2 linked regions of the Drosophila melanogaster genome follow. The protein of the gene in region 2 interacts with the protein of the main gene of each other region in a pairwise test. Each region holds a gene or a part of one and is shown on either strand. Other genes may lie near its edges. The genes, in order: Mdr49 and CG10462.

Region 1 (17,184 bases), on a different chromosome or scaffold from region 2:
GTTCCGTAAAATTGAGGTACATGTTCCATGTATCCTTCGGTATGCGGCGAATATTCGGGTGCTTTTCGAGGAAGTGTATCCAGTTGGAGAAGAGATCAGGTGTTTGTACAGTGAACACAAGTTTCCACAGGTCAATAGCCATCTCCAGAGAGAGGACGCGCTGATCGGGCTCCAGACCAAATCTGAAATTTGAGACGCTAATTAGGTACTGATCTTCCAAGCAGTAAGAACGGCATACCGGAATGTAAAGCGGTATAACTGCTTGAACATCTCGGCGTCCGCCTTGAGCATCTCGATTGTCTGCTCCAGCCGCACCCGGATACTGTCTATTGTGTCCGCCCTCATCTTATGCAGACCCTCAATGAACTCCACCTTGGTGAAGCGGCACATCTGCGAGGCATCCAGGCACCAGGCCAAGACGAGAATTGCGAACTCATCGGGCTGATAGTTGAGGTCATTGCATAGTCGCTCGATGCCGTCCGTGAGTATCATCTCCTCGTCGTCGGGATCTTTGTACACATCGAATAGTTTGCTCAGCGTTTGGTGCGATACCTCCATCGATTCCTGGACAGCTATTAGAATATAGAAAATCGAATGAGTATGCCGCCAAGGCAGTCGAATGAACGCTGACTCACCAGTTGTTATGATATCGCTCATGGTGGGCGCACTGCCATTAAGCAAACCTAAAGACTTAAAACTATTACGCTTAGTATCACAATTGTTTGCTTTTGCTGGCTTGAGTGGAGTTCGGCTAGAGAGCAGTTCATCGGTTTCTAGAGTGCATAAGCCGGAATAAGAGAGGTTTCTTAGACTTTGGATCACAATGCGGTTATTAACTATAGAATACCCACCTAAGGCGCAGCGCTCGTTGGCATTGGGATTAATGCCCACCGATTCGTAGCAATTTGCAAGGCTGGTGGCCGTCTGGCAGGCGTTGGAATTGGAATTGTGTGAATTGGGGGACGAGGCGTTCGTTGGCATCGATTGTTCGGCGGCAGACTGGAAGCATTTCAGGCAATTGCCCATAGTGCGGGCGTGCTTGGTGCACCACCAGGTCCTACTCCTCCCCCGTGCTCCGCCTGCAGTTGCTTGCTTAACGGGAGCACTCGATGGCTTCCAGTTTCGTTTTGGCTGAGACACTGTGATTTGTCAAGGGGCGTGCAATTGCAATTGAGGTCTGCTGGTCGTATAGCTTCTGGGAAATTTATTAACTATGCATTGGCACTGCGATTCCCTCCTCTGGCATATGGTAGTGGCTATTCCGATTCCGATTCCAAGTACGTCCTGTGCGAGTACAAACAAGTACGATTCCGATTCCGATTCTTTGTTGTCACTGCGATTGCTGTTGTTATTTTGGTGCCTCCTACGCAAACGCACACTCACGCGTATACACATACATGTGCAGGTTGCAACTGCAGCATTTGGTGCCACCAAATCGCGCTCGTCTCTCTCTATTGATGGTTTTCATTCACATTTTCAGTTCACCGTGCTCCAGCGCGTGTTTAACTACAATTTTTTACAATATTTTTAATTTGATTTATCTCGCTTTTTCACTTGTCTTGTTTTTTTCTGGCAATCGGACCAGGGCGGCACTAGTCAACCAGGGCTGCAGTGCTCTACGTTAGTTGATGCGATAGTCGTAGCAACTTCAGTCTGGCAACACCCTATCGTCGAAGAGAGTCACAGTAGGACATACAAGTTGATTCCGCACAGTAGTTCACACCTTAAATATTTTCGTACAAATTATTCTATATTCAAATACGATTATTGAACCAATACGTTCAATACAATGTTTTTATTAATTTATATTCTTTATATTACTTTATTGGTTAAGAAATTTAAAACAAAACATTAGCATACATAATTTTTCCCATTAAAATATTTAGTTGCCGTCTAAGCAGCATCTATCATTTTCTCGACCACTGTGCGTAATGTGAGCGCCGAGTTTGAGCAAAGCTAACAATTTCATTCAACAACATGCAGTCGGAGCGGTAGAAAGTGCTTCCGGGTAACGGCTTTCGGAACGTGCATATTCTACCGATCGCAGATGAAAACTTTCGGTTCGTTTGGCTAAAAAGAAAAGTGTCAAGCTGCCCGGAGTGGGAAAATCCAATTTGAAATCCTGCATTTGAAAAGTCGTCTTGAACCGGGACAACTAACTGGTAATAAGTGAGTGTGTGTACCCGTGGTAAATAAGTAAATGGTTGACTGTCTCGATTTTCGGTTGTTTTGGGCAATTCGAAAACCAGCCAACAAGGTTGAGTGAACTTGGTAGTTGGTCGTTGGTATGTAAGCCAAACTCCGTCGTGCGCAGTAAATGGGTAATGTTTTCTTGTGTGCGTGTGTCGTGGGCCTGTGATTCTTCGCGGCGGCTACACTTTTCTTTTTCTTTTTTGGATTATTAATTCGAAACGTGTGAACGTTAGTACAAGTGCTGGGAAAAAGGGCAATATGCTTAGGCTTAGGAATTTGGCTCATCTTCGGGCTTATTTTAATTGGCCAGCCCCACACAATAAGCACATTAAAAAGTGGAGTAAGACAAGAAGTACGAAAACCCCGTCTACATTTGGTACCAGTAACACCAAAACGGAAATCAGTCGATCTGATACATACATTGTACATATGTATATGCATATATAGGGATCCAAACCTAACATCACCACATCTAAAATGAGAAAACCGTAAACTAAAATGATTTATATCTTTTTTTACTCTAAATATAACAATACACACACCGTTCCAATCATTAAGTATACATTATTTCAGCGCTGAGCGGAAGATTCTTGGGTATGTTGAGCATATTTTCGAAGTAGCTGGACAGCTCTTCGAAATTAACTTCGTCGGGGCTTTGAGTCGGAGCTTCTGTGCCTCCATTAGAGAAAATATCATCACATTGACAGGTCAGGTAGACTGTATCGGGATCCGTTGGGATCGATTTAGCCAGATCCTGTAGTTTGTCCACCCTTGGGACCGTCAAGTTTATGGCGTTTCCGTAACCACAAATATTTTCACACTCGCTCATCATGGTTTTAAGATCGTAGGCATTGCCAGAAACCTTTCCAGTCGCAATCTTTGCCCAATTAGATTCCTTCTCTTCGTCGGTGTCTCGAATTTTGTGAGCCCAATCCACTCCTTCGGCACGAATTCTTTTAAAGGGATGTTCAATTATTGACTTTCGAAGAAGAAACTTTTGCTTCAGTGTATGCTTCGGAATTCGTAGATCTTCGAATTTGTTGGAATCCAAAGTTGCCTCTATTGCAGATTTATCGAAAGTTGTTGCTTCGATTGGATTGTCAGATATTATCATCTTACGCAGCTCGGAGGAGATTTTTTCTATAGACATGCTTTTTAATTGTAAAGAATTGTTGGCGCTTATGTGTGTGACCTAATTTTGAGAATCTTGAGATGTGTGATGGAAAGGAATGGCAAGTATAATGAACAGCCTACTCATCTCGCCTTGGATTCCTTTCAGATCGATTCAAGAATTTCCATCGCCAACCTGATTGAAAGATAACACAGACGAATATGTCATCGGATCGGTTTCACAAGTGGGTACATGCAATTAATTTGACTCTATCTTATCACCAATGGTGATGCACAAGAGACTCATTAACTTTCTGGTACAATCGTTTCCGTTTAGAGCCGCCAAAGATGGGCTGTTGGATGTGTTGGCAGCAGCCACACGGAAGGATACGAATGCCAAGGACAGTGATTCCATGACGCCGGTCATGTGGGCTGCCTTCGAGGGGCGTCTGGATGCACTGCGTCTGCTGTGCGGAAGGGGGTACGCATTCGTTTAAATGATAATTCTATATCCACTGAAGATAATCCTTTCCTCTCCCTTCAGTGGTGACCCTGACAAATGCGATCAGTTCGGAAACACAGCCTTGCACTTGGCCTCCGCCAAGGGTCATTTGCATTGCGTCGACTTCTTGGTGAAATTCGGAGTAAACATCTATGCCTTGGATATCGATAAGCACAGCGCCAAGGATCTGGCGGCTATTAATGGCAGGGACGAGATCCTGCGCTACTTGGATGTTGCCTTCACAAACTTTGAGGCCACTGAAAAGTAAGTTTATGAAATATCTGCCACTTGCTTGCATTTTTGTTTGCATAATTTATTTTTTGTATATATTAAAACTAATACTTCAACTAACAGAAAAAAAAGCAAGGCCCTGAAAGAATTGGCCGAGAAAAACTGCGAGAAACGTGTTAGGGAGTACATGAAGCGCCAGAATCAGCAGCAACAGCGCCAGGATCCGGAGTATTCGGATCTAAGCGCACCCAGTGGCTCCAGCAAGACCGGCAACATGCTGTCCACTCTGAAGCAGAAGATCTGGTCCAGCCAGGGCAATCTAAATAAGACACCAAGGGATACACCGCCTCCCACAAAGTTCAGCGATCTGGTTGGGAACGGTAGCAGCAGCAGCGGTGGCTCCACAATAGCCAGTCGAGCGGGAACGGTGCAAAAGAGACCGTCGCAGCTCCAAAAGCAGCACAGCAGCACATGTCCACACTCGAAGATATCCAGCGACACAGACGGTGGCTTCAAGGTGCGCGAGGTGGAGCCAGATGGAAAGCGAACCATTACATCGCTTACGGGTCTGCAGAGAGACTCCGAGGTGCTGTATGTGGGCACCTTTAGTTCCAACGAGGACAGTGTCGGCAAGCGCGGCAAGATCAGCGATGTTTTTGAGTGCATGGAGGCCGATGAGTTGGACCACAGCGATAACCGCAGTGGCTATAGCTCTACTTTAGCGCGTTCCTTCTCCCAACCGGATATTCTGGGGGATGGTCAGTTGACCCAGGAACTAAGCGAGGAAGTGACCCTCCAGAGACCCGTTGGACTCTTCGATAGACCCACCATGCTGGGCAGCATTGCCTTTCGTCGATCCGTAACTGCTGCTTTAAGTCAGCTTCAACTGCACACGGACACCAGTTCCACTTCCACGATGCGGAATGCGGGCAGCAATCCTCCAAAGACACGAAATGGCGGAGGAAAGGGTCGTTTATATTTGAACCTTTCGGATGATACGGACTCGGAGGGCGGCGGTCATGACATCTATAGCGATGATGACGACGACGACCGAGATGCCGGAGGAAGTGCCTTGCAGCGATTCCTGGCCGTTTGGGCCCTGGAAGAATACCTGCCAGTGTGAGTAACAAAACCAAATTTGTCTGGAATGTATGTGTATTCAACTCGTATCCTCCTTTACCATTTCAGATTTCAGAAGCAAGAGATCGACTTGGAGACTCTGATGCTGCTCACAGAATCGGACCTTAAGTCACTTGGCTTGCCACTGGGGCCATTCCGTAAACTCACCTTCGCCATTCAGGAGAGACGTAACGCCCTGGCCAATCCCGGACCCCTGGTAGACAGTCGACTGTAGTAGTTGGCCTAATCATTCTATTTTTTTTGTAATACTTCAACATGTTCAATTAGCCTAGTGTACATACTAAATTAAAGCCTAACAATTATCACTCCAGTTCGCTGTGTTAGCCCGACACCTGTTGCATCAGATAGAGATTGGCGTAGATTTTGTTCAGTGCCATCAACTCATCGTGGGTGCCGTGCTCCACTACCACGCCGCGTTTTAGCACACAGATGAGATCCGCATTCCGCACGGTGGTCAGACGATGCGCAATCGTCAGGCATGTGCGGCCTGATCTCGCCTCATCCAGCGCCTGTTGCACCACCTTCTCGCTCTCCAAGTCCAGCGCAGAGGTGGCCTCGTCCAGGATGAGTATCTTCGGGTTTCTAACCAGGGCTCGAGCGATGGCGATGCGCTGCTTCTGACCTCCAGAGAGCTGCGATGTCTTGCCCAGTCGGGTGTCGTAGCCTTGGGGCAAAGCACTTATAAAGTTGTGGATATTCGACTTCTTGGCCGCCTCAATAATCTCCTGCATGGACACATCGTCACGGAAATTGTTGCCATAAGCTATGTTCTCGGCAATGGTGCGATCGAAGAGCACGGGTTCCTGCGAGACCAGGCCCAGCTTGGAGCGCAGTGTGTCCAACGGGAATTCCGTGCTCGGCACTCCGCTCAGATTCACGGATCCCGATACGGGATCGTAGTAGCGAAGCAGCAGTTGCACGCAGGTGGACTTGCCGGAACCAGATGGACCCACCAGAGCAACCGTCGTCGATTTCTTGATGGTGAGATTTAGGCCCTGCAGAATGGGAGTGCCCTTCCTGGTGGGATATTCGAAGCCCACGTTTTCATAGACAATGTCTCCCTCGGATTTCTAAAAAAAAACAATCAAATTTGAGTTTCCAACATAATGTACGGTTTCGATTGGCGAAATGTTGACTTACCTCAACTGTATTGTAGGGACTCTGTGGCGGATTGGGCTGCGTTGAGGTGCGCTTGAAGAGATCCATTAGGCGTCCGGCGGACAGAATAGCATCGTTTACATTTGGCGCGTAGGCCAGGGCCTGTCCCAACATCCAGGAGCCAAAGATCAGAGCCTCGGCCACCTTGATGATGTCCTCATAGTTCATTCGCTCCTCTGCCACCAGAATACCACCATAGTACATGGAGATGCCGTAAGCCAGGAAAGGAGCCGCCTGTCCCAAAGCGAAAACCAGACCACGGAAGCGAACCTTACGCCTGCAGGCGATATCCACGCGATCGATCTGCTGAACGTATTGATCCAAGACCTGGCGCTCTAGGCAAAGACCATTGACCGTTCGGATATTGGTAATAGCTTCGACTGCCACTTGAGAAGCCTCCTCGATCGACGCCTTAGCCTTCTGGGCGCTCTTCATGATAAAACGGCCCTCCAAGTAGACGGACAAACAGACCAGGGGCAGGGTGACCAGTGTGAGGAGCGTCTGTTGCCAGGAGAAAACGAAACCGACGACCATTCCAACCACAAGAGTGGCCACGGCCTGGAGCATTGTGCCCACACGAGCTCCGGTTGCCTGGAATAAGGAAAAAGCGTTAGATATTTAAACATATATAGTAAAAAGCAGTAGCTTGGAATAGCAGTGCTTCTGCATGGTTACCCTCAATCTTGAAACTTACACCCTGAACGTTGGAACAATCGCTGGCCAGCCGGGAGCACAGTGCTCCCACTGAATTTCGCTCGTCATCGAAGTAGGCAATATCCTGACCAATAATCGTTCCAAAAGCCCTTTTACGCAATCGCGTTGTCATCTTCACGCCGGCCGTTGTGAACATGTAGGTCTGGAGCATGTTGCCCAATCCGGCCATCAAGCCAATGCCCACAAAGATCATGGAGATTTTCAGGACCTCGGCTCGCACAACGTCATCGTCACCGTCCGAGAGGATTCCAAAGAAGTCGCCAAAGAAGAGACCCCAAAGCGGGAATGTGGCGCCATGCATTACGGATGCAATGCCTCCGACGACAATGAAACGCCACTCCGGAGAATTAAGCTTCATTAGTTGAGTGAAGGACACCTTGGATACCACTTCCTTGTCCTTCTTCTTCTTGCGACGCTGCGAGCGACCTGTTAATTATTTGAATTGGATTTTAAAGTTAATATATATAATATAGTGCACGATTTTATAGAACTTTTAATTTTGCATTTGTTTTTATTACTTATTTTCTTTACTTAATATCGAATTTAAGTCTTGGTACTTGGGTTAGTAAAAGCATTAAATATTCCAACTTCTGGTACTTACGCTTGCGTCGCGTGCTGGCTCTGAATCCGCTGTCCCTGGAGCTGCCCGAAGTCTGCAGCTCCGGCTCTTCGTCCTCCTCTTCATCTTCCTCGTCATCATCGGTTTCCTCGTCAGACAGGTTCTGCGACTTCTGCAGAGGTCGCCCGGCAACCGCTCCCTCGTCCGCCTCCGTGGCCTCCTTCCGCTGGGTGATGCTCACCAGTTCGCAGTAGAGACCACGTCGCTCCATGAGCTCCTCGTGCGTACCCTGCTCCGCCACTACACCGTCCTTGAGGAAGACAATCTTGTCGGCATTGGTGATGGTGGACAGTCGGTGGGCCACAACTAGAGTGGTTGGTCCCTGGCTGGCCAGTTCTAGGGCACTTTGCACCCGCTTCTCAGAGGTGGGATCCAGGGCAGAGGTGGCCTCGTCGAGAAGAAGCACTTGGGGCTGTCGAACCAAAGCCCGGGCAATGGCAATCCGCTGCTTCTGGCCACCAGAAATCTGAGCGCCCTTCTCGCCCACCTGGGTGTCGTAGCCCTTGGGTAGGCGAGTGATGAAATCATGACAGTTGGCCGCTCGCGCCGCCTTCTCTATATCCGCCTGAGTGGCCGATGGTCTTCCGTATCGGATATTCTCGCCAATGGTGGTGGCGAAGAGAACCGGTTCCTGGCCCACCACTCCGATCTGCGAACGCAACCAGCCCACATTCAGTGTTCGAAGATCCCGTCCATCCAGTTTGACACTGCCCGCTTCGGGGTCGTAGAACCGCTGCATCAGTTGGATGAGGGTGCTCTTGCCACACCCAGATGCGCCCACGAAGGCCACCGTCTGACCCGGAAGCACATCGACGGTCAGACCCTTGAGGATCTCCACATCCGGACGGGCGGGGTAACGGAAGCGTATGCCCTCGAAACGAATGTGTCCAGCGGTATTCTCCGGCCTGTTTCCCTTCTCGTCCATTGGATCCACCTGCGACGGACGATCGATGATGTTGAACAGGGTCTGGCCAGCTGCCGTGGCCACAGCAATGGCTTCCACGTGTGGAGAGGCAAAACCGAGATTCTGGGCACCCATGATCACGGCGAACAGGACAATGACCAGAACGGCCGGAGTATAAACGCGATCGGGAAGATCACGCTCGTCCAGAATGAGCGTCACACCATACCAGATGGCAAGAGCCATGCACAGGTAGATGATCAGCCAGGACAGTGCGTTTCCCATGCCCGAGTATAGACCCTTCTTGCGACCCGTATTCTCTGCGGGAATGAGCAGCTTGCCAAAGCGTTCCTTTTCCTTCTCCTGACCACTGAATGCGAACACTGTGCGAATTCCACTGAATACCTCCTCGACCACGTTGGCTGCATCGGAGTAGGACTTCAGCTCCTTCTCGGCCAGCGATCCCTGGAGTCGAGCCACCACACTGGTGGCTGCAATGATGAAGGGCACACAACTCAGAACGACCAGGGTGAGCTTCCATCCGTAGACGAAAGCAGACACTATTCCAATCACAAAGGTCATGATCAGGAATACCACAATCACTATTTTCTCGCCAATGCCTTCCTTCAGTTTGTCCAGGTCTCTGCAAATTCCAAAGAAAAAAATCGAGGAGTTATAAAAATACTCTAAAGTCTTTAGAATTTAATTCTAGAATTAAAAGGAATTTGAATAAATACATTGTAAAATTCGCACAAAAAAAGTTCACGTCACTGGCATGAGATATTTAATTTATTTAAAAACTTTCAGGTGGCTTCCTAAAATTGTCTGGGAATCGCGATAGTGATAAATTGTTTCAATCATATTTAAACCATATTGATGTTAATAAGTCCGATTGCTACTATGATTGCGTAATTTTCTAGCTCTGCTAATGAATATTCAATTGATATGGTTTTTATAATTTGTTTAATGCAATAAGATTCGGATTATACGCTTATTAATAATTATATTATTTGAGACGAAACTCACTCTGTCATTTTGCTGGCGAAGTTGGAGCCCGAACTGGTGTCGTACCAGGCGATGTCCTGTCGCAGCATTGCCTCCAGGAAGAGCTTTCGGATGCGATCGATTTGGTTGAGGGCTATCCGGTTGGCCAAGTCGATGGCCAGTGTGATGAGCAGGAACATGGCCACAGATCCCACCAGACTGCCAATGCCAAAGGCAGTCGCATCATCAATGATCGCCTGGTTGTTCTCCTCTTTGCTGGCATTTGTCCTGAACGAAAATTTGACGTTATAACATAATCCTGGACTATCTTATGATTAAGAACTTACAATTGCTGACCGCCACCAAACATGGGCAGAGCAAAGGCTGGCGAGGATGTGCCCACGCCGACTGTTCGGTCCACGAGCAGGGATGTGAACTCTCCGTAGATAATCATGAAGTAGGGAATAAATGCGGACGCAGCGGTGGCCACCAGCAGACTGACTACCAACAGGAAGCGCTCGCATCTGGTTGAGTATCTGAACTATAGAGGCGAGACCAAAAAGGATATAGAACCTATAACGATGCTGATGCGGAGTCACCACTCACCAGATCAAAGTAACTGTACTTTCGGGTCGCATCCACGACTGATCCTTCCTTAAGCTGAAAGTCACCAGCTTGTGGCAGCCGTGATTCCTCCTTCTTGACCATTGTGTCTATGAGGCGATACTGCAGTAAAGTATCTCTATACTCGCTATAGCAATTAAGCCTAAGAACAAAGTTAACAATTAGTAAACACAACATTTTGTGTGCTGGCCTGATATCTAAGCTCTAAATTGGGGTCTATAATTTAGAGTGTATCAATTAAAGAACTTAACCACGAGAACCACAAACACACCCAGTTGCTCTCGCTTTTTATCTGCAAACTCGACTATAAAAGCCTAATTACTATCTTCTTAATTCTAATTCACAAAAAGAGTTCAGTGCTCTTAAGGCAAACATGTTATCCCAGGAAAGTTACTGGGGAGATTAACAAAAGTATGATTGAATTTTAAAAAATATTTCAACTCTTCAAAGAATTCAGGCTCAGATTTAACATAATGTTATGAAATAAATTTCTAGAACTTTATCTTCTTGCATTGCCACTATTTTATAATAATAGTTTGACATTCGTTTTTTCTTAACAAGAAATACTTGCACTTTTCTTGCACTTAATTAAATGGAAATCAATGTATCTCAACATCTTGGAAACACGTAATTATAATACCATTAAAATAACTAATGTTGATAAAAATGGTAGCAATTATGACGCTTAAGTGTGTGATAATTAATGTATCTTTACGTGTTACATAAAATATATTGTAGAAATTATTCGACGCAGAGCAAAGGGCTGATTAATCAGCAAAAACAATTTTCCCAAGTCAATTTAAGGAAATTAGCTCGATTGCGCGAATGAAAAACAAGCGTACATAAATTAATAAATTAAGCGCAATTGGAAAGCGAGATATTTGTGTGTTGATTGCGATTGTCAATTGCGAACGGCTTGCACTCAAGATCCAAGGAACTGGGTATAATAGCCCACTCCTCAGCTACTCAGATTCGATTCAATCTTATTCACTTGTCGACGAAACGCACTCATCGAATGCATCGAGAAACTGAATCAATTAATGGAAATTCACTTGCGCTACATGGCACTTACTTAGCACGTGCCGATCTTCCGTGGACACTTGGCAAACTGATGAAACTCGCGATCGTCTGAAGACTTTATATATGTATATATATACATATATCTATATTTCCTCTGGCTCTATTGGCACTGGGAAGTGCTCAAGAAGACGTCTGCAGCCGACGAGTGCGCGATCTGAACTGGACTAACACAAAATCGAATGGTTGCGACGACAGCTCGGTGCCAGAATCTCGGCTCTCGGTTCTCGAGCGGCAACAAAGTCGATCGTATAACTAATCGGGATTCCCGCCTGGCAACCCGCCTGTTCCTCGCACTCGTCCAGGCGGCGGGAAATACTGGTTCCTAGTCGCTGGTCCTGTAACCAAAACAGAGCCATAAAGACGATGCAGATTAGATTGATTAGACAGTTATGTTGTACGTACATACCATCGATTCGGCGTAAGTTTGTTATCAGTCTCTCGTAACCGGTATTTGTTTACTGACCCAGCGTGTCCATAGATGCAGTGGAGTCGGGTCTTTTTTGGCCAAAACAAAAACGGACTAAGCGTAATCCATTTGCGCGCATGGTTTTCCCCGCGCAAAAGATTTTAAGCTGAATTCGCCAGATCGGGGGACTAACCGAGAGGAAATCTGTATCTGTATCGCGTGCGAAAGTCATGATTCATACCGCCGCTCAGGTGTGCCGTGAAATACCTGGATGCTTAAGCGTGGTAGCGGCATTCTTACGCTGCCCAGCGGCGACTTCCCCAATCCAAATATATCACACTACTTGGTGTGATAAAATACAAATAATGTTGTTTTCAGATTTTGAGATATCGTGGGGCATGGTAAACTTCTTTTGCAATGGTTTGTCGGTATTTCACCATTTCAGTTGAAAAGTATTTCAAAGAGGGTAGTGTCTCCAAGCAAAACGATTTGGAAAACAAAAAATTTCCAAAGGGATCTCATCTGCAATCTAATCGACAGTTGTAAGCACTCGAATTGCCCATAACGGCACTAAAATAAAATATATGTATATACGTGTGCTATCAAAATGTTATTTAGCAAGTCAGATAAGCCGAATTGTGGCCAATTTAGACAAGGTTAGTCCAATAGATAATTGCGGCCAGGTATGGTGTTTTCAACCATTTGGCATCATATGGCGAAATTATTTTGGAAGGCGTTTAAAATCGTTTCCATTCAAATGTTCTCTTGGTTACGGACCTAGTCCAATGCGACTATGTTATCTACGGCAAACCAGATTAGTGTTCTAAAAATTCGTTCATATTTATAGACGTGGGATAGAACTTGAACAAAGGTGTATATCAAATATTGGCGAAAGTATTTGTTGATTTACTCAGTGGCGAGTTGCTTATTTTCACAATCTTTGATCTGACTTTTGGGTTCATTTTTTAATATTTAATGAGCTTCCATTACTTCGTATCAACAATGCATTTTTGGTCTGACAATATATATTTCTGTTAAAATTACATTAATTATGTTAATGGGTTTCGAAGTAATAAGTTTAATAAAGAACTGAAATTTGTTTAATTTAAAAAATTAATTGCTTAAAGTGCATATCATTAAAAAAACACATTAAAAGCGTGAAAATATTAAAATATGTAGAATGTGAGTTTAAATTCAAGTTTAAATATTCAAGTTTTTCTGACGGTGTATTTCCAGAGTGCGCATTATGACGCATTCGCTCATATTTACTCTTACCTGTTTCGCCTTTCTCTTTCTTCTCTTTCATCTTGTGCGCCGAGTTGACGTCGAAAAACCAGAATCGTTTAAGAAATCTTGTGTTGGCCAATAACGGATAGTTGTGGGAAATGCCAGATTTGTCTAATCGTTAAAACCCGTGTGGGTTCAAGGAGGTTTTCAAGCATATGGGGTTCTTTGCTAAGCTGGGAATACAGCGTTTTTAATTCCGCACATTAAGCCAAGTTTACTATTCTACGTGATACAATATTATTTTGACCTTAAACTCTCGTGCCCGCAAATCGTTTACTTACCATCTTCTAATTGTAATTTCTATGTTAAGGCGGAAGAACTTTGTTCTTTACGATTTTGTTCAAGCGTTTATGGAAATGTTAAAGAGTCTTTGTTTGTCATAGTATAATTACTAACTTATTTTACACGTGGTAGAACCGACGTAATAAGAAACCCAAACCATAACAAATGATTAAATCCAAAGGCGTCATTAAATAAATAAAACATTTATTACACAACGAACTTTAAAAGTGTGTCAATATAATTAGTGCATAAGTATCTTAACTAGTAAATAAACATGTCGGTTAAATATAATGTGTGTAGAGGTAGTTTCACATTTTGCATTTGGCTTAGATGCATTTAATATTGAGTGCGTATATAAATATAGGTAATTAATAATTAAAATGTAGTTTTTCACAATATACAAAGATATGCCTGGAATAATTTATAGGAACAAAAAATTTGTTTATGGGTTTTCATGGCCTAGCTGCTCTCGGATTTTCCAGATTAAATATGTCTTCAGTAAACCAGGCGGATGGCCTGCTGTCCGTGGTAAATATCGCTCCTAACAAGAACTTCATAGTTGCTCAGACGGATCTCTTGGCCACCGAATGGGATCTGGAGGCATCGGTTGTAGGTCTCAATTACACCGGGTGTCAAGCTGCCGCAGTAGTGACCCCGTCCAATGTAGAGTGGTGCTCCGCCAGGTGTCGTTCCGGCCACAACTGCTCCAGGTGGAACGTTTCCGCCGTAGGATGGCACCCAGTGGTATTTGCCCTTGCCCACCAGCATTTGGTACGATGGCTCAATGATTTCACGACCCCCGTGGGCTATGTAGCCACATCCCTGGCTGGGAATGGCCTTGCCAGGAACATGGACACCACGGTAGTAGGCCCGGCAAACCAGCAATTGCTCCATGTTGCTGTCATGACCTCCAATCACGGCATCGGGAGAGTAATAATAGCCCGGTTCGGCTGATACCCAAACGTCATAGTTGTTGCCATAGCCGTAGGCGTCATATGCCGAAGGAGCAGCACACTCGGCCGGAGTGTAGGACGAGCATCCCGCCTCGTAGGGATTATAGGTGGAAGCGGGTGTAAACGATGGTGCCACGGGAACGGATACTGCGGTCACCTCTGCGGGAACAAATGATGGCGGTGGCGCCACCTCAGCTGGAGTGAACGATGGAGGAGGAGGTGGCATGACCAACACACCACCTGCAGGCGGTGGTGGTGGTGGTGGTCGTGGCATGACCAGCACTCCTCCCGCCGGCGGTGGTGGGGTTGGACTCGGCATCACCATCACACCTCCAACGGGTGGCATGGGATCCGGAGTGGGTGTGTAGGCCGGAGGCCTGTCAGGAAATGGCATCGCAGCCAAATCCGGATATGGATATGGTTTGGCCGGCAGTGGCGGCGCCATTGCCGGTGGAGAAGGTGGTGGCGGCGGCGATAGTGGACACTTTTCCGGCTCCTCTAGTGGAGGAGGTGGTGGCGGCAGCTGCCAGCCAGGAACCACTCTGCGCTCCTCCACCAAAATCTCATAGGAATCCAGACGACGTTCGGCACCGCGAAAAGCGATGAACAAAGCTCGATGGACAGAGGAGATTTTGCCGATAATCAGATGACCCTCATAATGACCACGACCAATGTAAACCGGCTGATCCAGCGATGTGCGTCCACAGAGTACAGCATTCTCCGGAATCACATGATCGTAGCACTTGATCCACACCAGATTCTGACCGCACAGCACCTCGAAGATGTCCTTGGGCAGTGCCTCTCCTCGCTGCGAAATGAATCCCAGTTGCTTGCTCGGCACCACCTTGCAGACCAACATATCGCCCTCGTGCTCCGCCCTGCCCACGTATATCATGGCGCCGTCCTCATCGTTGCCGCCCACCACTGCCTCCTCGGGAAGGGAGGAGTAGGCCGAGGATTGAACCCACTTGTAGGCTGAAAGAAAGATGCATTTTGTTATTTGCTTATTCAGAAGTGATTAGTTTATCATAAAGGACTAACCAATAATATGCTATTTCATCTATAGACATGCAAAAAAATGATGTAGTAATTTTAAATTTCTTTAAAAGTAAATAATGTGGAAGAAAGGTAGAATATAAGGAAATGACCTTCATAGCAAGCCACTATCGTAGCTCATAAATTTTGTAAAACCTGTCTAATCCGACAGTCCATTTTGGCCATATCAGTATAATACATTTGCAGGGATAAGTATTTTAAAAATAGAAGGAACACAAAATGCCCACAGATTTCTTCCGGTATTAACAATCAGTTTATTTGGCTGCGATAACAGTTTGATCTAGACTAAATGCATATGGTATCTGTAGTGTTCCGTTCCTTTAGCTTATTGTCTGCAGAGAATCTCGTACGAGTTGATGCGAATCTCCCGACCTCCGTACGGAATATAGAGGCAACGCTGGCTGGCCGAGATCAGACCCGGTGTCAAACTGCCCTGGTAGTGTCCTCGCCCATAGTACAGCAGCTCTCCATTGCGAGCACGACCCGTGGTTACGGCGTTTGGTGGAATGCTGTGGCCGCAATTCATCCATACATATCCGTAGCCAGTGAGCACCTCGTAGCTGGGCTTCTGGAATTCGTATCCGCCGAAGCAAACGTAGGCGGTTCCCTTGCTCGGCACCACCTTGGCAGGCAGCATTTCACCCTCGTGCATTGCCCTTCCGGCGTAAATGGGAGTACGGTCGGAGTCGTGTCCGGCGATCACTGCGCCCGGAGGAGTGTAACTGGGCGAGGCCGGTACCCAGACGTCGTGCTGCTGCTTGATGAGCACCTCGTAGGTGTTGATGCGCACCTCCTGGCCGCCAAATGGAATGTATAGGCAGCCGTGCGATGGATGAACTTTGCCCACAGTCAAGCTTCCGGCATGATGTCCGCGTCCCACATAGAGCGGCTCGCCCGTTCGCGTCGTTCCGCTCCTCACCGCATTCGGTGGCACTCCACCGCTGGAACTGGGCACCCAGGCAAATCCCTGACCCACCAGCACCTCGTAGTGCGTCTTCGTGTGCTCCGCACCACCGTAGGCCACATAGGCGCATCCCTTGCTCGGTACGACCTTGGCGGGAAGATTCTCGCCTTCGTGAAAGGATCGACCCACATAGATGGGCGTGCGGTCCGAGTCATGGCCACCGATAACCGCGTATGGGGGCAGGGGGCTGTATGGAGACGAGTGCACCCAGGTGTTGTCTGCAAGGAGAAAGGCAGTAGGGCGATAAGTTTGATACCACGCGATAAGATAACCTATCTGTACACAGAGCGAAAACCGGAGAGTAAGTTTCGTGTCCTTTCCATTGGAAATATCTTAAAACTCTACTTGATTGATTTAAATCACTGTTATATTAATATTGTCTTGATAGATATTATATATTGTTATTAAAAAAAAAAAGATTAAGATTTACTAACTTCGTACTTTTTCAAAAGGTAAACATTTATCATCCCGAAGCTGCATTATTAAATGGATACGGTTTTGATTAAAAATTAAGTACAATGTACAATATAATGATTCACTCTATACTCATACTCTCATAGCTTTTTCTCCGTGTACATATTTGGCTTGCTGTACGGTTTTGCGGGTTTGGGTGGTTTTGGGTGGCCTAGGTGGTCTGGGGGCGGGGATCAAATGGGATTTGGGGTTTCACAGAGGCGTAGGGGTTTCACCCTGGGCTCACTGCACTCGTCCTACCAACGGTCACAACTCCTCCTGGCTGCACGGCGCCTGGAAAGAGCAAAGAAAGGCGGAGAACTGTAGAAGTCACTCAATGCTCTTTGCTTTTCTTCCGGCTAATGTGCACAGAGAAAAAAATCGCAATACCAACAGAATTGGTCAGCACTTGCGGATTTCTTCGCCCGTAATTGGGAAATTGAATTTAATTAAGCTAATATGCAACAATATATTTTTTGATTTTGATGATCTTGAAGGTAAATTACACTTATTTCATTAGACTTTGG
Region 2 (15,694 bases):
GATGCTGTCAGGACCGCAGATGACCAAGAAACGGTTTGATAACTTGGAACGCGGAGTTGAGTACGAATTTCGTGTGGCGGGCAGCAATCATATTGGTATCGGGCAAGAGACGGTGAAAATATTTCAGACACCCGAGGGAACACCCGGTGGACCGCCTTCTAACATTACCATTCGCTTCCAAACTCCGGATGTACTGTGCGTGACCTGGGATCCACCAACTAGGGAGCACCGGAATGGCATAATCACCCGCTATGATGTTCAGTTTCACAAGAAAATCGATCATGGCCTGGGATCCGAGCGAAATATGACTCTCCGGAAGGCGGTGTTCACAAATCTGGAGGAGAACACCGAGTATATCTTCCGGGTGAGGGCTTATACGAAGCAGGGAGCTGGTCCCTTCAGCGACAAGTTAATCGTGGAGACAGAACGTGACATGGGTCGAGCACCTATGTCCCTGCAGGCAGAGGCAACATCGGAGCAAACTGCGGAGATTTGGTGGGAACCGGTAACAAGTCGTGGCAAGTTGCTGGGCTACAAGATCTTTTACACCATGACAGCTGTCGAGGATCTGGACGATTGGCAAACGAAAACCGTTGGACTTACGGAATCCGCTGATCTTGTTAATCTCGAGAAGTTTGCCCAATATGCCGTGGCCATTGCGGCGAGGTTCAAGAACGGATTGGGACGTCTTAGTGAAAAGGTTACAGTACGCATCAAGCCGGAGGATGTGCCCTTAAATCTTCGCGCTCACGATGTCAGCACCCATTCGATGACCTTGAGTTGGTCGCCACCCATTCGCCTAACCCCGGTAAACTACAAGATCAGCTTCGATGCCATGAAGGTGTTTGTGGACTCGCAGGGATTCTCCCAGACCCAGATCGTTCCCAAGCGAGAGATTATCCTTAAGCACTATGTGAAGACCCACACTATCAACGAACTCAGTCCGTTTACCACGTACAATGTGAATGTGAGTGCCATTCCCTCGGATTATTCCTACCGGCCGCCCACAAAGATTACGGTCACAACGCAAATGGCTGCACCTCAGCCAATGGTGAAGCCGGATTTCTACGGCGTTGTTAATGGCGAGGAAATTCTGGTGATACTGCCTCAGGCTTCGGAGGAATATGGACCCATATCGCACTATTATTTGGTGGTGGTCCCGGAGGACAAGTCCAATCTGCACAAGATACCCGATCAGTTCCTTACCGATGATCTCTTGCCGGGCAGGAATAAGCCAGAGCGTCCGAATGCACCGTACATTGCAGCCAAGTTCCCGCAGCGTTCCATTCCGTTCACATTCCACCTGGGATCTGGCGATGATTATCATAACTTTACAAATCGCAAATTGGAGCGAGAGAAGCGCTACCGCATCTTTGTGCGAGCGGTTGTGGATACGCCACAGAAGCACCTCTACACCTCCAGTCCCTTCTCTGAGTTCCTATCGCTGGACATGAGGGAAGCTCCGCCAGGTGAGCGGCCCCACCGACCCGATCCCAATTGGCCCGCGGAGCCGGAAGTGTCGGTGAACCGCAACAAGGACGAACCGGAGATTCTGTGGGTGGTGCTGCCCCTGATGGTGTCCACATTCATTGTGTCCACCGCCCTGATCGTTCTCTGTGTGGTTAAGCGTCGTCGCCAGCCGTGCAAGACTCCGGATCAGGCAGCTGTCACAAGGCCACTGATGGCCGCCGACCTGGGAGCCGGACCTACGCCCAGCGATCCCGTGGACATGAGGCGCTTGAACTTCCAGACACCCGGCATGATCTCCCATCCGCCCATACCGATATCCGAGTTTGCCAACCACATCGAACGACTCAAGTCCAATGACAATCAGAAGTTTTCGCAGGAATACGAAAGCATTGAGCCGGGCCAACAGTTCACCTGGGACAACTCCAATCTGGAGCATAACAAGTCTAAGAATCGCTATGCAAATGTTACCGCCTACGATCATTCACGCGTCCAGTTGCCAGCGGTGGAGGGTGTGGTTGGATCAGATTACATCAATGCCAATTACTGTGACGGCTATCGGAAGCACAATGCCTACGTGGCGACCCAAGGTCCGTTGCAGGAGACCTTTGTCGACTTCTGGCGCATGTGTTGGGAACTGAAGACGGCAACCATTGTGATGATGACGCGATTGGAGGAACGAACGCGCATAAAGTGCGATCAGTATTGGCCCACTCGCGGAACGGAAACCTATGGTCAGATCTTTGTTACCATCACGGAGACACAGGAACTGGCCACCTACAGCATCCGCACCTTCCAGTTGTGCCGGCAGGGCTTTAACGATCGGCGTGAGATCAAGCAGCTGCAGTTCACAGCCTGGCCAGATCATGGAGTGCCCGATCATCCGGCGCCCTTCCTTCAGTTCTTGCGCCGGTGTCGCGCCCTCACGCCACCGGAATCCGGACCCGTGATTGTTCACTGCTCTGCGGGAGTTGGTCGCACTGGCTGTTATATCGTAATCGATTCAATGTTGGAACGAATGAAGCACGAGAAGATTATCGACATCTATGGGCATGTTACTTGTTTACGGGCGCAACGGAACTACATGGTGCAGACGGAGGATCAGTACATCTTCATTCATGACGCCATCCTGGAGGCCATCATCTGTGGGGTGACGGAGGTGCCGGCTCGCAATCTACACACCCACCTACAGAAACTATTGATCACGGAGCCCGGCGAGACCATCTCGGGCATGGAGGTGGAGTTCAAGAAGCTGTCTAACGTCAAGATGGACTCGTCCAAGTTCGTAACGGCCAATCTGCCGTGCAACAAGCACAAGAATCGCCTGGTCCACATTCTGCCGTACGAGTCAAGTCGCGTCTACCTGACCCCCATCCATGGAATCGAGGGAAGCGACTATGTCAACGCCAGCTTCATCGACGGCTATCGTTACCGTTCCGCATACATCGCCGCACAGGGTCCTGTCCAGGATGCCGCTGAGGACTTTTGGCGCATGCTCTGGGAGCACAACTCCACCATTGTGGTCATGCTGACCAAGCTCAAGGAAATGGGAAGGGTAAGCTCCCCCCTTGCACCATAATACAGTGATTATTCATATCCATTAACCAATACATTCCCACAGGAAAAGTGCTTCCAGTACTGGCCTCATGAGCGATCCGTACGCTATCAGTATTATGTCGTGGATCCCATTGCTGAGTACAACATGCCGCAGTATAAGCTGCGTGAATTTAAGGTGAGCACCATTCACTTGACTTGATTGGCTTACAACATGAAACTAATTTAATTTACCTCAATGAAACTAGGTCACGGATGCCCGAGATGGCTCATCGCGCACCGTCCGCCAGTTCCAGTTCATCGATTGGCCGGAGCAGGGTGTGCCCAAGTCGGGCGAGGGCTTCATCGACTTCATCGGACAGGTGCACAAGACCAAGGAGCAGTTTGGCCAGGATGGACCCATTACCGTGCACTGTTCGGCGGGCGTGGGACGTTCGGGTGTCTTTATCACTCTGAGCATCGTTCTGGAACGAATGCAGTACGAGGGAGTACTGGACGTCTTCCAGACAGTGCGCATACTGCGATCCCAGCGTCCGGCTATGGTACAAACCGAGGTGGGTATTGCACTGGCTTCTAAACCGATGAAGGAAAGTGGATTCATTCACTTTTTTAACTCCCATAGGATCAATACCACTTCTGCTATCGCGCTGCACTGGAGTACTTGGGCTCATTCGACAATTATACAAACTGAGTGCATTTCTCAATGGGATTGCCAGGTCCACAGAGCTAAAATCTCATCGACCCTGCGTTCGTTGCATACTTATTTCGAACTCTACGCATAATACGCATTTACGATATACACGGATATCATAACTCTAAAGTATTATAGCCAGCTACTGCCCACACTTACTTAATACACCTATACTTATATACGTGGATATGTTTAGTTGATAAGCGCACCCCCGCCCGCAGGTTATGTTACCATTACGATTCTTTGGGGGACTCGATCTTATATATTGCGTTCTATTTTATTGATAATGTAAACTAAAGAAGACTGTTACACGTTTAATTATCAAAACCTTATATATCAACCCACATGCACTTCTATGTACGAGTATGTGCATCAAGATTTGCTCGCTAATGGAGAAGGATGTCAATCAACTTGTTGTTGTTCGTGGTACTGCCGCCGGAGTGACCATGAATGAGGGGCGCCACTGGAAACCGATACATATTTGAACTAAGGACTTGGTAGCTATTAGTCTTACCGCCTAAATCGAATCTCGAACGGAAGCAAAGGGTCGAAAGTAGAAGCCATTTTAAGTAAATCGAAAACTTCTGGCGATTTGGCGCAAACTCCAGACGCTATTATAATATATAATACAATCAATCAAACACTGCTATGTTAATCAGTTTTCATGCCTTGGTTAATGGAAACCAGTATAAACGGTCCGTGCAATTAGTCAAAAGTCTTGCATAGCGCATATTTTATAAGGCAGCTAGATTCTAAAATTAGTTTTCAAACACAACTTACGTTTTGATCTCCCCGCAAAAGATGACGAACCTTATGGACTGATCGATGTCTTGGTAGCTAACAGACAGTTCAAATTTCAAAGACCATTATGATAGATCACATACGCAACTTCCAGCCAAGCAGCTATTTTAACTTCAACCTCATTCCCTCGACTTCTATTCAGTTCCCTAGTACATTCCTGTATATACCACAGTCGATACCCGAGCTAGCCACTTATGTATGTGTAATTTAGATTGAAAAGCTATGAAAAGTTATTGTACCTAAGGTGTATGAAGACATAGAGAATAACCGAGCGAACAGATTAGAATGATAACTGTAGATATGTACTGTAGCATATAATTTTTACCATAAAATAGAGCGACACACGCGGTTATAAATAAACATAAACATAAAATCGAGACATTGGCAATAGTTCTTAAGGTACATAATAATGTATATAACTGATAAGCTGTTTTGCAAAACGTTTGAATTCGGCCTCGTAACTATACATAAATATATAAAGAGTTAGCAAGCAAATGCTTAAAAGCAAACACTAAATTATTAGCTGAAACACATGTTAAACAACCATAGTCATATGTAAACTAAATATTTATACGAAATAAAGGTATTTGTTATAACTACTCTAGCATGTTGCCCCTGCCAATTGGATCGGAAGTGTTAGGAAGTAGTAAATTTTGAGACGATGTTGGACGGCTGGGCGTATTTGGAATAAACCGAGAGATACTAAATTAAACTATAGCGCTAGCAAAAATAGATGTCTAGATAATGGTACCCCCGCAGAGAGTTGCAATCGTATTACACGTAACATATACATAAATTGAAATGTACGATTATATTGTATATTACACAATCTGCCGGCTTGTCAAGTTTTGTTAAGATAATTAATTGTTTTGTATGTTTTACGAAATAGAAAGATAAAACAATTTTAAAGGTCATACGATACACAAACAAGCAAACAATATAATGATTATACTAATCAAGCAAACAGAAGAGCGTATGTATTTCGCATTAAAGTATGGGTAAGAATGTCATATTATGTTTAAAAATACCATGCAAATAATATATCATTTTCAAAAAACTGCAAACTGAATGATGAAAAATAATAAAAGACGAAAATAAAAACCGTTTAGAGCCTTTAATTTACCCTTCAAAAGGTATTTGATGGTAGTTTATTTTATACTTTTACATCATTACAAAGTATTTTCTTTATCGCTAGCCACTACTTTTGTTTTTTTTTTATTTTTGTCTTTCTGACGAATCCATTAACAGATCCATTTTTGAATACATCATAGACGAAGAAGCCTGCCAAGCCATGAGCCATCATGAGGAAAAATTGTAATCAGAGGGAGCAATCTCTGGTCAATCGGCTGGTGGGGTAGTGCTTTCCAAGTAAGATTTTACGAGCCAACTATGATGAGTCTGTGAGCCCTGTGGTGCCGCCAAATACTTTGTCACGTCCATATCCATATTCCTTACAATGATGGTCTCGTTTGGTATTCAAGCTAACAATAAACATAGCCATCTTCCTTCACGGTCAACATACACGTCCACATTTGAATAGAATGTATTTCAAAAGTAATTGCCATTATTAATTAATTCATTTGAATCTTAATACAATGAGTAGCCAGACCCTTTCCTGCACTATTCCGTGGGAATACCTCTCCAGACTTTATAGCGAATTTTCAATACCATCCTGCAATGTTCCTTTCTAGTTCCTAATCGCATTTCCTGTATCTTATGAGCCAGTTTAAAAAAGACAATATTTCATAAAATAAATAAACAACTCACTGATAACGACTTACCTATTGCAGTTTCTGGCGGGGTTGAGTTGGTTTGATCACGTTGGGACAAAATGTTGAGCGGGTCCTCACTGCGTAAGTAGCCGTTGTGCTCTGGGTGATACTGGAACACCACCTCTCCCCTGATGACCCGCACGCGGGGACCATGGGCTCGAGCGGTGAACTTAACCTTCCCACAGGTGTCTGGCCGGAGACGACGATGAGCTCGTAAGCCGCTGACAACTACAAAGTATTTATCGCATCCGTAGCATTTATACCGCTTCATCCCAATATGCCGTGATAGATGGGAAATTAAAGTTTCCCGGTGAGTAAAGTCTAACGAGCATATCTGCAAAGGGGAAACAGAAAATTGCAATAAATCAATTAACAAATGTCTAATTTCGCTAAGGTAAGCATAGGCTCAATTCTTATACCTTCTCACCTTGCACTTAAATGGTTTCTCTCCGGTGTGACGACGGTGGTGTACCCGCACTTGTCCAGGAGTTCGGAAACGTTTGTCACAGTAGCTGCACTGGTAAGGCAGTTCCCCCGTGTGTATGGACTTGTGAATGCGCAAGGCTCCAAAAGTAGTAAACACTTTTAAGCATTCGGTGCACTGGAACGACTGATTTTTTTTGGGCTTCTTGGAGACCTTTGGTTTTTCTATATTTATACTTGTCGGGGATAAACCTTTGTTAACAGGCACATTGGATAGTGCTGATGTCTGGCCTGTTAATGGAGCAGACGTTTTACTTAGCAATAAAGGCAAATTAACAGTATTGGGTAGTTCTGGAGGAGGCACAGGCGTTTGTGGATTCAATGGCACATGCACTCTTTGAGTTGCAGCATTTGCTGAGTCCTGTGAAAGTACTGCAAGGGCAATTAAAACGAGCACGTTCAAAATTTTAGTTTACTTACTTTTAGAAGGCATTAAAACCACTTTAAGGACGTTACACTTTTCATCGGTTAAGTCGTGCTTGTTAGTCAGATGCGCACGAAATGCGCAATGCTTCTCAAACATTCGCTGGCATAGCGGACAAGTCCACATAAATCGATATAGCGGGTATTGGATCTCCAGTTCCCTGGCCACCATTAAAGCCGACGGGTTGAGCATCAGTTCTACGGGTTTGGGTGCATCCATGGGAGACGACGTTGATTCATCCATCGTTACTTTCGAGGATTGTAGCACTGTTCCCGGCAGTGGCAATGTCTTCTCTATGGACCGAATTTGATTACGAAATTCATTGATTATCTTCATGGATTCGGGTCTGCTCTTGGAATTGTTAAACGAGTCGACAAGAAAGCACGATGATCGACTGTGAGTTTGGGTTGGTTGCACAGTCTTAGCAGACGCATGAGGATTACCCATGGAACCGACAGTACTTATACTTATCGTCTTCGGAATCTTTATGAAATTGGTTGAATTCTCCGTACCACTCAGAGTTACGGTGGGAGAGTCCTTAGGGGCAGCCGGAGCTTGACCTGGCGTCTTAAAAATTTTTGTGTTGGGAGGCAACTTGATGACCATGCAGTTACTAGGTAACACTTTCAGTATATTGGCTGCAATTGAGGAATTTGAAGGTTCTTGGTTGGAAATCGGAATATTCGCATCATCGGATATCACTGAGTGATTGGATTTCTTGTTAAGAGATTCCACATTAGACGTTAGTAGTCCATTTCGCTTAACACCTGCTGAGAAGGTAGTAATAATTATGTAACTACTTTTGTTATTAATTGCAAAGAACTTACGTTTTAAGTGCATCTGATTTTTGGTAGTGGCCAGAGCAGGCAGGCGCAGTTTATTCCTCAACGGAGTATGTATGGCTGTCCAGACGCTACCATTTGACTGTTCCTCCTTAATCCTACTCACATCTGGCATTTCCTCGTCCTGTGGTTCCAATTTTACATTGAGTGGAGGGTTGTCTTCCAATAGCATTCGGTCTGCTTCCTCTGCGTTAAGTGGCTCTTCTTTTATTTGCACATAGCAATTCGACTCTTCAGGTACCGGCGTACTAACTGCCACAAGTTCCGGCTTTGATGATGACCCCTTTCTGAAATCCAGCAGGCTGCAAAAGTCCTGGCTCTGCTTCCTATGCAGATTGAGGCTCTGTTTGGACTCAAAATGCCGACGACAAATGGAGCAAACAAAGCGATATACGTAAATGTGCTTTTGCATATGGCTGGCCAGATCGTCCGCGCTATTGGCCATAAAATCGCAAACCTAAAACGTTCACTGTTTAATCAATGTGTGTATAAAAGTTAAATGCAGATGAGCTCACCCTACAGCACAACACACGCCCTGGCTGGAAATGCTGGCGATATTCATGCTCAAGGATCTTTTCAAGCGTGTCCAGCCAGATACCACAGCCCAGGCGACAAAAATGTAGGTTCATTTCGTGATGAACCCGGTGACTTGATATATCCTGTTGGCTTTTAAACTTGTACTGGCAAATATCGCAATGTTTTGGATTTGGGTTGTCCTCCGATTCAGACGCAAATATCTGGGGGTGTAAGTATTAGCTGATTAAATTTTGTATTAATGCGTTAGCAAAAATCGTACATATACATGTAGCTTGAATTTAGATAGATAATTATGATTACATATATTTACATTTATTATGCAGCCTAAATATGATACTTTGTAAAATTATGACAAAATGTTTAATATATATGTTTAGATTTATGACAGTTATGTCTTCCTTTCGATTAATATTTAGATCCCGTAACGGAATCTCCACGCTACCACGCGACCCTTGTGCTTTTTTAGGTTATGTACATGTATATTTTTTACCTGTTGGTGGCCGAGTTCCAGGCTGGCGATAAATAGGCGCTCGTCCTCGGAACGCAAACGATCCCTGATCGGCACTGTTATCATTTGAGATCCCTCGTCCAAAATTTTCAGCGTATCACATGCTATAAATTGGCCGAATTTAGAAAGAATTAAAAGTTAACGGTAAAGTGCGTAATAGAATAGCAGAGACACCAACACTACGGCGCCCAGCAGCACTCACACACACGCATGTGGGAGGAGAGCATGCAAGCTTACCGCTCAGAATTCTGATTGAACTGTCCGTCACTTCGTCCTGCGGCTCCATCTTGATCTTGATGTCCTCCATGTCAATTTCCCCCTTGGCCAGCGCCAAATTCGCGAGAATTCCGTTCTGATCAGAGGATATCAGATCAACAACTATCAATATAAAGAAGAGAGCAGCAGCGCAATAAATACCGCTGTATACCGCTGCGATCAGAAGACGACTATCGATAGGCGCGGCGTTGCCAGATCAAGTGGCGCAATTATCGGGTGGAGCGGTCAGCCTTCACCACTTGGGGTGGTTATCGATTGACGATAGCCCTCGCAATTTGGGAAAGTAAACAAAAGCAAATCCGTTGAAGAAATCTGTTAAAAATCCAAGATATGAGCAATAGCGAGGACTCGCAGCAGTATCTGAACGACATGCTGGTCAAGGAGGAGGACGAGGCGTCCGGCGGTAAACAAAAGACCATCCACAACCGCGTGTTTTGTTGCTTGACTTTGATTTTTCACCCCCGCAGACGATTCGGACAAACAGGATGGAGGGATAATGCTACGCGAACAGGACCGATTTCTGCCCATCTGCAACATCATTAAGATCATGAAGGTTCCGGTGCCCCAGAACGGCAAGATAGCCAAGGATGCACGAGAGTGCATCCAGGAGTGTGTCTCCGAGTTCATATCCTTCATTAGCAGTGAGGCCATCGAACGTAGCGTCGCGGAGAATCGCAAGACAGTCAACGGGGACGACCTGCTGGTGGCGTTCAGCAATCTGGGATTCGACAATTACGTGGAACCACTGTCCATTTACCTGCAAAAGTACCGAGAGGTCAGTGAGATTACGCTATGCACAGCAGTTAATAACCAAGTAACCCATTGCAGTCGAACAAATCGGATCGTAATCTCTTTCTGGACGCCAGTTATCCGCACAACGAAGATGGGTCCTCCGCAAACGATGCGGGGAAACAGTAACCCCTTTCTTACTTACCCTGTTAGTTAAGGTTCTTTTGACATTAAGGAAATATTTGTCTAATTCAAAGTGTTTTGTTTAATCCTAACAGTACACCTTGATTGACTATTTAAGTTAATATTATCATTACTATTCTTTCTGATTATTTAATTTTTTATTTTGTATATATGATATATGATTTTATTTTAATTGTAACCACAGATTTTATATGCATAAATCCATTTTTACTCTCCCGATACATAGTCAAATTCAATATTTAGGTCTTGGTACTGGTAGCAAACATGAATTTATGTATCGCGGGCCCATTAAGCCAAATTACTGATACTCTTATATAAAATAAATATGTTTATTTAGTAAACATTAATATAAAAACTAGATTTGTTGTTGGTAAGGGCTAATATTGTGAAATATTAAAAACATTTTACGAGTTATCTTAATTGTAGATCATTTTCCGTAGCTGTAGCTGACAAGGAACGACATTCACATACTTACATAAGTAATAGAAAGTAATACAAGCAATCTGCTAAAAATTATATTATCCTAGCCGGTATCCTTCACTGCCCTAGGAAACCGGGACGGAGGCTTTCTCTTCTTGGCTATCCACTCACTTTCGTAAATTACGAGTGGAGCGTTTTCGATCCCAAGGGCGCCCTTCTCAAGCGAAGCGATGGCACTGCCCACCTTTTTACCAAAGACACTAGAATAACAAGATGCGTAACGCCATACGATTTTTTGGCACACGATTTTTTTGCCGTGGCTCTAGAGGTGGCTCCAGGCTCTCTGGAATTTTTGTTAGAGAGCGAGAGAGCGAAGAGCGCTACAGCGAACAGCTCTTTTCTACGCATACAGTGATAACAGACAACTTTATGTGTGCACACGTATGCTCATGCATTGTAAATTTGACAAAATATGCCCTTCACCGTAGAAGTTCTTAGACTTTAAATCTATATTATTTTTGATCAATTGGCATCATGCGAAAAATTCTTGTTTGCATTGCCTTAACGTTATTATTATTTGAAAACAGATTAGAAATAGCCAAATCCATGTACATATCATAACAAAATAAATTTCAAAAATTACTTTATATTAGAATATTTGTCATTAGAGTATTCAGCTTGCGGCGTGTGAAAAATTAATAAGGCAATGATTGTTGAGTGCTTGTGTCCGCACTTCGTGCCTCAAGATATGACCAAAACAAAGACACTAGAATAATTCTAGTGTCTTTGATGTGACTTTTGCAATAAACAGTTTTCATATTTTTATTTATTTTACAAAGACAAATTAGAGAGACAGTTTAGAATTAAAATGCTGAGGAAAGAAAACTCAAACCTAAAAAAAAAATAAGTTAGGTTGGAATCTAAGACCGAAAAAAACATATATTCTGAAATAGATAAAATTAATTTAACAGGAAATGAAAAAATATTAACGAAAATGCTTTTTAAGGAAAAAAGGGCACAAATACAAGATGGAAAAAAAAATTGTTTGCTCAGAGCATATATTACAGGTCCACTTCGACATATACGTTCTTAAGAGACTCGCTGAAATTAAATTTTCCAAGTCCATCATCTTTGCAAAAGTGGAACAGCATAAAAAAGTTACAGCCAGGAGACAACGAATGTTTGTACTCAGCCCTTAAAGAATCTATAAAAGAAATGAATGCATCTGATAAAGAGTGCATATTGGCTTGTGATGAAGTAGCGATAAAAAAAACCTAACTTACAATGTGTCAGTTGATATAATAGATGGAATAGAGCATTTACTTGATCGCTCTAATAAAATCCTAAGCCATATTTGCGTATTTGTTGTTCGGGGTATTTAAAAAAAATGGAAATTTATATTAAACTATTTTGTGGCCGAAACGAATATAAAAGGCGATTGCTTAAAAAGTCTTATTTATAAAAATATTATTATTGCTGAAACAATTGGGTTCAAAGTAAGGGGTGTTGTGTACGATCAAGGAGGTAACAATAGAAAATGTACCTCATTACTTAAAGTCACCAATGAGAAATCTTACTTTACCTTAAATAATAAAAAATATTATATGTTTTATGACATTCCGCATCTTTTCAAGTCTGTAAGGAATAATTTTCTAAGAGCTAATTTTGAAACCCCTGACGGACTAGTTGACTTTGATGTCATTCGAGAGGTTTACGAATTAGATCATGGATCAGTAACGAGAATGACTAAATTAACAAGGAGTCACGTTAATCCAACCAGATTTGATCTAATGCGCGTATGTTTGGCAACTCAAACACTTAGCCACACTGTTGCAGCGGCAATTAAGACTTGTAACCAAAACAAGCAATTACATCGAAATAGTTCCGAAGTTGCAGCTTCTACGGCTGCATTTGTCCAAAAAGTTAATGATTACTTTGATTGCCTGAATAGCAGAGTATTAACTGACAAAAACCCCATGAAATTCGCGCTCCAAGTTAACAATGGAGTTTGGAACAAACTAAAGGAAATGCAGGAATACCTAAAGAGCGTTAAATATCACGGGAATAAAATATATTGTGTTGATGGCTTGATCCAAACTACTGAAGCTATATTTGGACTCCTCGAAGATCTCTTTAAGGATCACACAGACCACTTTTTCTTTTTAACTAGTAGATTAAACCAGGATGCCCTTGAAAATATATTTGCGTGCGTTCGAGCAAAAGGTGGTAACTGCAGAAATCCTTCAGTTAACGAATTTAATATAATAATTGCCAAGCTCATATCTCTACACATTTTTAAATTTTCACAAAAGTCGAATTGCGAATCAGATGATGTTATGTTGCCAATAGAGTTCGATTCGATAATATATCAGCCTTTCGTTGAAAAAAAGAAATACAGCAACAAGAATACTCTGTATCATTTTCCAAAATCGTGCAAGACAATGAGAGGTACTTTGACCAAAATATAGATAACTTTGTGCAATGATGTACCCATTGAATTAACTTCCAGTAGATATTTTGTTGGATATATTGCTAAGGGATCCAGTTGCGATAAATGCAGATCGGTAATTTTAAAAGAAACCGAGCATTTAACAGCTCCATCAGAGCTTTTTATACATGAGAAAAACTACTCAATAGAATCGGACTTCGGGAAATTAAAGGCACCATCTGATTTATTTTTTAATGTTTGCAAAATACACATTAAAGCTTTCGAAAATATTTTTAAAAATAATAAAAAACAAATGTGTATAAAAAAATGTATTATTGAGCAATGCATTAAGTGCACAAATGAAAGTAGTGCCTTCTCATTATGGTTTTATGAAAATAATGAATGTTATGCACATAGAACAGATCTTTTAAACAAACTTATAAAAGTTTTGCTTTTTAAGCATTGTAAGTGGACTGTGATAGCTGATAGACAAAAAAAGCAAGCTAAGCTCAGCATTCTATCTCATAAATAAATATTATTTTATTTAAATATTAATATTTAAATAACTGACGACTGAAAAATCGAGCAATATATAATAAAAAACAATAGTTAGAAAAATAACTTAATTGGGGAATATGGAAATGTTAATGTTAAACATTAAAATATTTCAAGTCGACTTGAAGGTCATATACGTAAATATAAGACCCCATTACAATTGTAATGGCCTCCCCGTGGTGTTCCCCGGGTACCGATTATTACACATATTACACATAAATAATTATGAACATAAATATAAATATGTAAACGGTAGCTAATTCGAGCGGCGATTTTAACAAACGAATTTAAAAAGCTTTAAAATTAAAAAATTTTAAAATTTAAATTAAAATTTTAAAATTATAATAACAAGGGCGCGAATTTTTTATAATTATTTTATTTTATCATATTGCTACGAAATTGGCAAAAAAACTACCCTAATATGTACAATGTAAATTCATTTCTTAGATCAGAATTGATTTCGGCCCGAAAATCGTCTTCTAGCACAACACGCACACATATACGCGTTCTCGTCTCTTGTTTTTACTCACACAAGCAAGCAAATTCTATTTTTAGATTTCTTACGTTCTCAGCGCGAGCGAGCGGAAAGAGAGCAATTTTGGCCGTCACCAAAAAAGTGGCTGCATAGTGCCAAACCAATGTATGGCCGTTACGCATCTTGTTATTCTAGTGTCTTTGTTTTTACCCTGGAGCCTACAAAGCAATCCTCATCAAAGTGGAGGCTGCAGATGCGAAAGCTGCGCCAGTCTTATCTGGCCATTTTTACTTTTGTGTTGTGTAGCCACATCTTGGTGTAATCTTCATCTTCGAGAAGTTTGTGTAGACGAAAAGCTCTGATTACGTCCTCGAAGGTGGTCTTGCACCCTCGAACGGCGCAGCGATATGTACAGTACCTCTTCTGCTCTGACGGCACGACTTGTTCAGGGTGCAGTTCTAAAACTTCCAAGGACTGATCTTCTCCTTCCGGCTCCTCTTCAGACTCCTCGTCACTTGAATCGGAATCCGAAAGATCAAACTCACTTCTTTTTAGGCCAAAGACTCAGCATCGTGTGGCTCAGCCAGGTTTTGCGTAGATTATCCACACATAGTACGTAACAAGTTCTATACATCTTTAAACAGTTTAGAAAACACCATTCAAGAATGAAGTTATTAATGCTAATCCTGTAATAATTTTTTTTGTGGTAATTGAAGTTGGACAAGTGAAGGTCGCGATCGAGGTGGCCAAGTTTCAGGGTTGGCATGCAACTCGGCTCCACTCGTTTTACTGCACGGCACATCCTAAAACATTGTTCCTCGAAGTGGTCATGGCAAATCGTACTTGTCTGCACTTTGCTGTAGGTGGCCTCTAATCCAATGTTGTGTATCCATTTTCTGGTCAGTTGCTGGGACTTTGGGAAGGAGGAAAACGAATTGTCACCAGCTTGCCGAATGCGCCCACAGCCGGGAACAATACATGCAAACTTCAGACTATCCGATCGAATAATACTCGGTGGATTAGACTGGACTTTTTGGCCGTGGCCCAGGAGTAATGTGGGCAGCGATCCAGGTTGGAGTCTCAGGTCCTTCGTAAATCAGTAGATCTCGAAGTTTCGATGGCAAACGCGAATATCGTCTCGCAGGAGATCAGAATAGGGAATTAATACGTTTTTGGCCCACGGATCTAGCTCCACTGGGACCTTTGAAAGTTTATGAAAGCCGAAAGGAGCATCCGTATCCTTCACACATCCTGTCACCAGGCAATGGAATAACATTTTAGTTGGCATTGATTTCACAAACAAGCGGAAGCAGTCAATAGAAAAATGGGGCTGGCACAACCGGAATCTTTGGCTTTCGATTGGCTTTAGGTTATGACTGCACCGGTGTACCCATTTTCCGCGCATTTCCTAATCGTCCGGGTATTCAAATAGAAGGACACCTTCATCCTTGCTCCGAAAGCAACTTAGTACAGAGCAGTAGTGTTCCCAAATGTATTTCAATGTATTTCGGAATCAAATACTCCTCCT

Evidence for each region.
Region 1: the proteins of CG10462 (region 2) and Mdr49 interact in a two-hybrid assay, tested with the Drosophila melanogaster proteins (one large-scale study listed by BioGRID).

The regions. Positions count from the first base shown.
Region 1 is NT_033778.4:12,934,928-12,952,111, forward strand, and holds Mdr49 (multi drug resistance 49), read right to left. Parts: upstream 11,421-17,184; 5' UTR 11,249-11,420; intron 10,319-11,248; 5' UTR 10,261-10,318; coding exon 10,159-10,260; intron 10,094-10,158; coding exon 9,900-10,093; intron 9,841-9,899; coding exon 9,595-9,840; intron 9,462-9,594; exon of another isoform or gene 9,306-9,461; intron 9,212-9,305; coding exon 7,650-9,211; intron 7,475-7,649; coding exon 7,029-7,474; intron 6,926-7,028; coding exon 6,317-6,925; intron 6,247-6,316; coding exon 5,497-6,246; 3' UTR 5,396-5,496; downstream 1-5,395. Other genes in the region: SCCRO3 (squamous cell carcinoma-related oncogene 3), read right to left, coding at 1-182, 239-572, 636-773, 852-1,026; CG30487 (uncharacterized protein), read right to left, coding at 2,747-3,343; Sans (scaffold protein containing ankyrin repeats and SAM domain), read left to right, coding at 3,526-3,548, 3,641-3,784, 3,848-4,069, 4,160-5,155, 5,225-5,390; CG44251 (uncharacterized protein), read right to left, coding at 13,727-15,159; CG44250 (uncharacterized protein), read right to left, coding at 15,566-16,422, 16,919-16,951.
Region 2 is NT_033779.5:19,726,451-19,742,144, forward strand, and holds CG10462 (uncharacterized protein), read right to left. Parts: upstream 9,531-15,694; 5' UTR 9,387-9,530; coding exon 9,317-9,386; exon of another isoform or gene 9,184-9,316; coding exon 9,062-9,183; intron 8,772-9,061; coding exon 8,550-8,771; intron 8,492-8,549; coding exon 8,020-8,491; intron 7,963-8,019; coding exon 7,189-7,962; intron 7,141-7,188; coding exon 6,713-7,140; intron 6,620-6,712; coding exon 6,295-6,619; intron 6,227-6,294; coding exon 6,201-6,226; 3' UTR 5,630-6,200; downstream 1-5,629. Other genes in the region: Lar (Leukocyte-antigen-related-like), read left to right, coding at 1-3,022, 3,089-3,199, 3,270-3,575, 3,644-3,712; Nf-YB (nuclear factor Y-box B), read left to right, coding at 9,686-9,758, 9,823-10,130, 10,184-10,273.